Linked DNA regions of Macaca mulatta. The protein of the gene in region 1 binds, or shares a complex with, the protein of each later gene. Links are inferred from orthologs where the notes say so. Each region holds a gene or a part of one and is shown on either strand. Other genes may lie near its edges. The genes, in order: MEP1A and FETUB.

Region 1 (3,818 bases):
GGGGACTCTGATGCTCAAGTTTAGGACCACTGCCCTAAGACATCAAGGCTTTCCTGCCACAGGACCTTTCTATCTGGTGTTGCTTTTACCTCTACCACATTTCCTTCATTCCCTTACTCTATCATATTTCTGCTAAAATGCCACTTCCTCTGGGGGGCCCTCCCTGACCACTCTTTAATAAAATAGCTAACCTATCTCACCTCAGCACTCTTTCCCACCTTACCTTTCGTTTGTTTCTTTTTTATTGTACTTTCCACCATTTGTCATACTTTACAGTTATTTGTTTATTTGTATGTCTCCCTCTTCCCCCAATCAAGAGTGTCATCTCCTTAAGGACTTTGTTTTATTCTCTGCTATGTACCAGCATCTAGAAAAATGCTTCAGACACATTAGGCATTTAATAAGTGCGCACCACGTGAACAAATTGGGTAATGAATAGATTGAGGCTTGCTTTCACTGGATGTGCACTTCTTTGGGAAGTTCTCCCTGCCCCCCATGACCCCATCCATTCTGTCTGACCACTGGGGCCAAAGTCTGAGTGGGCTTGTTCACTTCACTTTGGAAGAGCTCCCTCAATTCCATTATAATCCAGGCCAGGTGTCAGGAAATACAGATTTTTGCTCAGGACAAACAAATAGTAGAACTATTCTCAATGAAAGAATAGATGGACCAGAACAAAGTCCCTTTATTTAAAAGATTATTCAAATCTGGGTCCTACTGACAGTGGTACAGTGATGTCATTACTGTTTGTGGTTGTTTAATTGCACTGCTAGCATAGGAATAGGTCAGGGCTAAGGAGGTTAAGCAATCTAGCAAATGTGTGCATGAGGAAGGGAATGATGCAGGGATAGCCCTAGTTAGTCACTGGCAAGTGAAATCATGATGCCTGCTAATACGTAACACCTCCTTGGTGTCCTATGCCTAAATGGAGCTGGTTCCTGAATGAACCATGGGCTTTGCCAAATGGGGCCTCTGTTGGCTCGTGAGACTGTGGTAATTAATCTCTGCTTTGGTTTCCCGGCCTGTAAATCAGGGCTGTCCTCAGAATGAAGTACAATCCAGTGATTCTGTCTGAAGTCGTTGCATTTTACAGAAAATGTTGCTTGTCACATGAGAGTTATGATAAGTGATGCTCTTTTAATGCTTGAGAAATTTTCCCACAAAGATCTTCCCTTTTAAGAATCTTGCTTACTGAAACAGGATGAGGCCAGGATTAAGCAATACCAGCAGTGGGAGAATGTATTCTGCTAAGCACCTGAGAACAGATGTTTGGAGGTATGGTTTTGAATGGATCTGTCCACAATCCTCTGGTCTTCCTTATGACGTGGGCAGCACCTTGAGCTTGGTTTTGGAGGGTATCATCGTGTTTTCATGGGGAAGAGCAGAATACATTCATCTACCCTGGGACAAGAGGCAGAATGGTACGGGGGCAGAAAGAGCCCTGAATGGGAAGGCCGGAGTTTTGATGCTCTCTTGGCCCCTGGATTACGTAGTACATCACTTCATGTCGCTGGACTCTATTTTTTTCTCCATTTTTCTCAATATTTTTCTTTTCTTTTTTGGGATGGAGTCTGGCTCTGTCATCCAGGCTGGAGTGCAGTGGCGCGATCATGGCTCACTGCAACCTCCACCTCCTAGGTTTGAGCAATTCTCCTGCCTTAGCGTCCTCAGTAGCTGGGACTACAGGTGTGCACCACCAAGCTCAGCTAATTTTTGTACTTTTAGTAGAGAAGGGGTTTCACCACATTGGCCAGGCTGGTCTCAAACTCCTGACTTCGGGTGATCCGCCCACCTTGGCCTCCCAAAGTGCTGGGATTACAGGCGTGAGCCACCACCCCCAGCCATTCTCTCAATATTTTTCATCCTCCTTATCAGTGCTGCCTCAAATCCCTTTTTTATAGTCAGTGATCAATAAAATCCCTTCTAACTTATCTCTTACTTTTAAGATTCTTAGACAAGATTTATTGTTTCAAAATTGAAAACAGAGGCTATGACAATATGTGATACTCATTGGCCATTCACATTTGCTCAACTGGAATTTTTGTATTGTTTCGAAAAGTTTTGCCACGTAAAGACTAATATTCAAAGATTTATAATGGCAAAGATTAATTTTATTATGGAAGATGCCTTTTAATAATGTTCACTCAAATATTCTTTTTTTAAAAAAAATTCCATTTCCAGCTGCAGGCTTGGACCTCTTTCAAGGGGACATCCTCTTGCAGGTGAGTACCTGTCAAAGATGCAGTAAGTTCCTCAGGACAGACAGTACCATTGGGTGTCAGTCTCTGCTCTGTCGCCAGCCCTGGGATGGGCACTGTGAAGGAGATAACAGAAATCTCATCTATAATCTGTTCCAGTGAGGAGTTCCACTATAGCCGGTAAGGACGAAAACAGAGGGAAAATAAGTAAACAGCACAAAAGAGTCTAAAATAATTAGATGGCTTATCTATCCAATTTTCCTGGGATTGCAGGCCCCCTTTATTTTGTTCTTAATAATTTCTCTGATTTTTCCAAATTATCTCTCAAGGGACTTCTATTGCTTTCATAATCAGAAGAGAAATTGCCACTAAACCGTTTGAATTGTGTGATAGACTGTTTGCTGTGTGAGAGTTTATTGAAGGAGGAGGTCAAGGTGATCTTGAGGACTAGGCTTCCCACTCACCTTTACCTTTGTTTTCACAGAACTCCAGAAATGGCCTGAGAGACCCAAACACCAGGTGGAAGTTCCCCATTCCTTACATCTTGGCTGATAATTTGGGTAATATTAATTGCTCTTAATTAGGAGTTTTCGGTTTAACTCTCTCTCCCCTCTCAGCCTGATCATGGGCTTCATATTGGGAGTAACCACCAGAGTCTAAGAGGGTTTTCAAGTCCTGGTGAATCTTTATCTCATGGGGAGAAAGACATGACATTACATCAAAACCAGTGCTGCTTAACCAGTCTGATACACAGTATCCAAGAATAACTTTTAAAATGCAACACACATTAAACTATTAGTATAACCAGGAGCAACGTAAAAGAGCAAAAACCCAATGAAATATAGTTTGCATCAGAGCAAGGCAAAGTTTGCACTTTGTTTAGGTGAATCTAAACGTAGTGTGAGGATCCTATTTTCAGCATACGGATTTCTTCTCTTTTTGTTACAAGAGAAACATGCCACACTTTGAGAAATAGAAAAGTGCATGTTTCACATGTTCACAATCCTTTTTTCTTGGTGTTATTAATGTCTACTCTTTTCTCTCTTGAGAAAAAGATCTGAATATGTTACATTTTACTCATTGTTAGAAATAATGACTAGTAGAATCACTTCTCTGCCTTTCAGCTAAGATTGTGTATAGAACTAACAGCCGGTAGAAATAAATATTAGAAGCCCCATGTAGGCACCCTCAAGCAGTTGACTGACAGCTGAGCAGCCATGATGACTCAATGCCTACAAGGCCCCACCTGCTTAGACAGATGGGCAAGATTAGAGTGAAGAGGGAAAGCCAGGACAAGGTTGCTTCATCTTGTTGGGCTGCTAGGCTGCTTATAGTCTCAGGAGATGTAGATTATGTTTCAGTATTTTCCATCCTCTTTATCAGCGCTGCCTCGAATCCCTTTTTATGGAGAACAGCTAGATATAAACAAATGTTGTTCTCACTAACACTTGGAAAATTGAGTTATTTTCTCCAGTGTTTGCCTTGCAAATTCATGGAACACCAATAGTTAATGGAACATGATTTAAGAAACACCAACTTTAAAAGGGGTTCTTTCCCATTACAGGTTCTTTTATCCTGGTTGTCACATCTCCACCACCCTATTATGTGCCGGGCACTGTG
Region 2 (4,274 bases), on another chromosome or scaffold:
GTTCAAATGATTCTCCTGCCTCAGCCTCCCTAGTGGCTGGACTTACAGGCATGCACCACCACGCCCAGCTAGGTTTTTGTATTTTAGTAGAAATGGGGTTTCACCATGTTGCCCAGGCTGGTCTTGAACTCCTGAGCTCAGTCAATCCACCCACCTCAGCCTCCCAAAGTGCTAGGATTACAGGCGTGAGCCACCGCGCCCGGCTTATTTTTTATTTTGAGGCAGAGTCTCACTCTGTCGCCCAGGCTGGAGTGCAGTGGTGTCATCTTAGCTCACTGCAACCTCTGTCTCCTGGGTTCAAGCGATTCTCTGATCTCAGCCTCCCAAGTAACTGGGATTACAGGTGTGCACCAGCACGTCCAGCTAATTTTTGTGGGTTTTTTTTTTTTTTTTGTATTTTTATTAGAGATGGGGTTTAGCCATTTTGGCCAGGTTAGTCTTCAACTTCTGATCTCAAATGATCTGCCTGCCTTGGCCTCCGAAAATGCTGGGATTACAGGCGTGAGCCACTGTGCCTGGCCTTCTATTTATTCTTTTAAAGTTCTTTCCTTAACCTTGTATTCTTCTTTTTAATGTTCGCTTTCCTTCCATTTATAAAGAAGCTTTTATAAGCAATGGTCTATACTTGCTTGTCTCCACTTCCTGAACTCCTATTCGTTTTTTTGTTTTTTTGTTTTTTTCCACAGTAATCTGGCTTCTATTGCCACCCCTCCTCTGAAACTACTACCAACAAAGATCACGGGGGAACTTCTGGATCAAATGGATACACGTTTAGCCCTTTATATTCAAGGTCTCCGTGGCATCTGACCCTCTGACCATGCCTTTCGTTTTTGAATGCAGTCCTTCCTGGCCTATGGAGCCTGTCTTTCTCCTCTGCAGCCTTTCAATCTCAGACCCTTTTTCTTTTAGCTCATCTTCCTCTGCTTCCTCCTTAAATATTAGTTTTCTCAGAGCTCCACCTCATTCTCATCTCATTGCCTTACCTGCTCTCCCAGAATGAGCTCACCCACTCCCAAGATTTTAGCCTCCACCTCTGGCTAATGATGATCTTGCTTATCCCCTTTAAGCCTTGAGTCCGTACATCCAACACATATTATGAGACTCCACTTAGAGATCGCTCAGATTCTTCAAATTTAACAGCCTCAAACTCAGGTCCCCATCCCCTCCCCCTTCCAAATCTGCTCTATTCCTGTAATGGTAGCTCAACTCTTTGACTCGGTCAAATAACCTGAAAACTCTGGAGTCATTCTTGATCCCTCACCCTTTCTTGCTGCCATATTTTGTGAGTCACCAGGTCTTGATTTCCTAAATCCTCATCATATCTCAGATCCAGTCCTTCCTCTCTGTTCCCACTGTCACTTCCACCTCTTCAGCAGTGTCTCCTCACAGGCTTTTCTCATTCACAACTGTATCACTCAGGGTTCAACCAGGTTTAGCATAACCAGGGAGGTATTGTAGGGAACTGGATTATGCAATTGTGGGGGCTGGATAAAGAGTCCCTGTAAGGCTGTCTCTGTATCTGATGCTGGAGCCTGAAGTCCACAGGGCAGGTGTTCAGAAAGAGAAGATGGATATGAAGTACGGGGAATTGACAGCAGATTGGAACCCGCAAGCATGAGCTGAGACCCTACAAGGATGGACCCTCACCCACGTCTGTTTTGGTTGCCTATGGCCTTGCTGGTAAGGGTATCCTGGAGAAGCTGGGGTCCTTTCATTGCTGCTACTTGGAATAATCTTTCTGAGAATCTAGTTCTTAAAAACTGCAGTGATTCCCCAGTACTTTTAGTATGCTATTCTAATCACTACAGCACCGAAGACTCTCAGGCTTTTGCTTGACTACTACTCCGGCCTTATATCTTGTCGTTACCTCACCATGCCTCTTCTCACCTCTTCCCTTCCACTTTCTAGTTCTCTCTCTCTCTCTCTCTCACACACACATACACACACACACACACACACACACACACAAGCACACACATATAATCTCAATTACAGTAGAAAAAAATTTACCCATAATATTTGGGGCCTGGTTTACTTAAAATTAATGAGAAAAGAGCACTTGAGCAATTTTGTTGTTACCTGCTAAAGCACATAGACAGCAAGAATTGTCACAAATTTTACACTACAAGCCAGATATCTCAAATGTCACATGAGATTTCATTTCAAAGAGTGTTACCCTGTTCTCATCAGAGAGGCTGTCCTCCCTGTGATCACTGATGGGTCCTTGGCAGCCCTGTGATATCTGTTATCTCACACTCAAGCAAATGATTCTTCAATTGTTACAATGCAGAGGATTGAAAACTAGGCAGCACTTATTTATTTATTTATTATCTTTTTGAGACAAGGTATCACTCTGTCACCAGGCTGGAGTGCAGTGGCACAATCATGGCCCACTTCAGCCTTGACATCCTGGGCTCAAGTGATACTTCTGCCTAAGCCTCCTGAGTAGCTAGGTCTACAGGTGCATGCCATCATGCCTGGCCAATTTTTAATTTTTTTTTTTTAAGAGATGAGGTCTTGCTATTTTGCCCAGGTTGAACTCAAACTCCTGGGTTCGAACGATCCTCCCAGCTCAGCACCACAAAGTGCTGGGATTACAAGCATGAGCCACTGTGCCCAGCTAGCTTTTTAAATTTTTATCCCCAACATCTAGCACAGTGCCTATCACAGAGCAGTTACTTCACTCACTGGAGAAGAACTTACGACATTACTTGAATGAAGGAACTTTTTTCTTACCCCCTAAACTCCTGATCCACCGGTCCATGGAGAAGCCCAGAAAGTCAAGCTTCACAGCCTCTCTCTGCACTTTTTTTTTTTTTTTTAAACAGACACTCACTCTGTCGCCCAGGCTGGAGGGCAGTGGCACCATCTCGGCTCCCTGCAATCTCTGCCTCCTGGGTTCAAGTGATTCTCCTGCCTTAGCCTACTGAGTAGCTGGGACTACAGGCATGCGCCACCACACACGGCTAATTTTTGTATTTTTAGTAGGGACGTAGTTTCACCATAATGGCCAGACTGGTCTCAAACTCCGCCCACCTCAGTCTCCCAAAGTGCTGGGATTACAGGCGTGAGCCACCTCTCCTGGCCTTTCTACCCTTTCAAGATAAGTTTTTGTTTACTGTGCTTGGAACATTCAAATGAAGATCATTTCCTAATGCTTTATCCACTGCCGGTGTGAATGCTATTGTTATAGTATTTCTGGAGAGCAATATGGCAAATTATTACAATTATTAATTAATTTTTTTTTTGAGACACAGTCTTGCTCCATCACCCAGGCTGGAGTGCAGTGGCGCAATGATAGCTCACTAAGTGCTCAAACTCCTGTTCTCAAGTGATCCTACCGCCGCAGCCTCTGAGTAGCTGGGACCAGAGATACATGCCTTCAAGCCCAGCTCATTTTTAAAAGGTTATTTATAGAAATGAGGTCTTGCTGTGGTGCCCAGGCTGGTCTTAAACTCCTGGCCTTAAGTGATCCACCCACTTTGGGCTCCCAAAGCACTAGCATGAACCATTGTGCCAGGCCTAAGATGGCAAATTATATCAGAAGTTTTAACAGTAAGAATTGCCCTTGACCCAGTAATTCAATTTTTAGGCATTTGTACTAAGCAAATAATTAGGGATATGAACAAAGATCTACCCACAAGAATGTTAATTGCAACATTGTTTATAATAGCAGAGAATTGGAAACAATCGACCTGTCTATCAAAGACAGTTGGCTTGAAGAACTGACTCACCTGTCAACAGACTATTGTGTAATAATTAAAAATTAAATTGCAGAAGTGGATTATTTCATATGTCAAGATGCTCAGGATCTATTGTTGTATTTTATTTATTTATTATTTTTTTTTGAGACGGAGTCTCACTCTGCAGCCCAGGCTGGAGTGCAGTGGCACTATTCTTAGCTCACTGCAAACTCCGCCTCCTGGGTTCACGCCATTCTCCTGCCTCAGCCTCCCAAGTAGCTGGAACTACAGGCGCCCACCACCACACCTGGCTAATTTTTTTGTAATTTTAATATAGACGGAGTTTCACCATATTAGCCAGGATGGTCTCGATCTCCTGACCTTGTGATCTGCCCACCTCAGCCTCCCAAAGTGCTGGGATTACAGGCGTGAGCCACCGCGCCTGGCTATTGTTGGATTTTAAAAGCAAGTTACCATATAGTAAGTGTACTAATACAGTATTTTTGTATAAAAATGCATGTGATATATGCATAGAGGAAAGTCTGGAAGGACATCCGTCAGCTATTAACAGTGTGGTCAAATATTTTTGTC

What was found.
Region 2: the proteins of MEP1A (region 1) and FETUB are in contact, whole or in part, in a cryo-EM structure (PDB 7UAI), measured with the Homo sapiens proteins. The link is inferred for Macaca mulatta from reciprocal best matches to the Homo sapiens genes MEP1A and FETUB. Residues at the interface, in NP_005579.2 of Homo sapiens: Asp126, Gly127, Cys128, Trp129, Ser130, Glu131, Val132, Gln145, Gly146, Cys147, Tyr149, Ile152, His155, Glu156, His159, Tyr164, His165, Gln167, Ser168, Leu184, Gly186, Tyr187, His189, Asn190, Asp192, Tyr194, Tyr214, Gln215, Phe217, Ser218; in NP_001362516.1 of Homo sapiens: Phe109, Phe110, Lys144, Lys145, Tyr148, Met149, Thr150, Cys151, Pro152, Asp153, Cys154, Pro155, Ser156, Ser157, Ile158, Ser196, Ser197, Gln198, Trp199, Val200, Val201, Gly202, Tyr205, Phe206, Thr242, His245, Trp246, Phe249, Val250, Ser251.

The regions. Positions count from the first base shown.
Region 1 is NC_133409.1:135,389,235-135,393,052, reverse strand, and holds part of MEP1A (meprin A subunit alpha), read left to right. Parts: intron 1-2,181; coding exon 2,182-2,222; intron 2,223-2,682; coding exon 2,683-2,758; intron 2,759-3,818.
Region 2 is NC_133407.1:98,808,098-98,812,371, forward strand, and holds the start of FETUB (fetuin-B), read left to right. Parts: upstream 1-1,398; 5' UTR 1,399-1,680; intron 1,681-4,274. UniProt on the Homo sapiens protein: Protease inhibitor required for egg fertilization.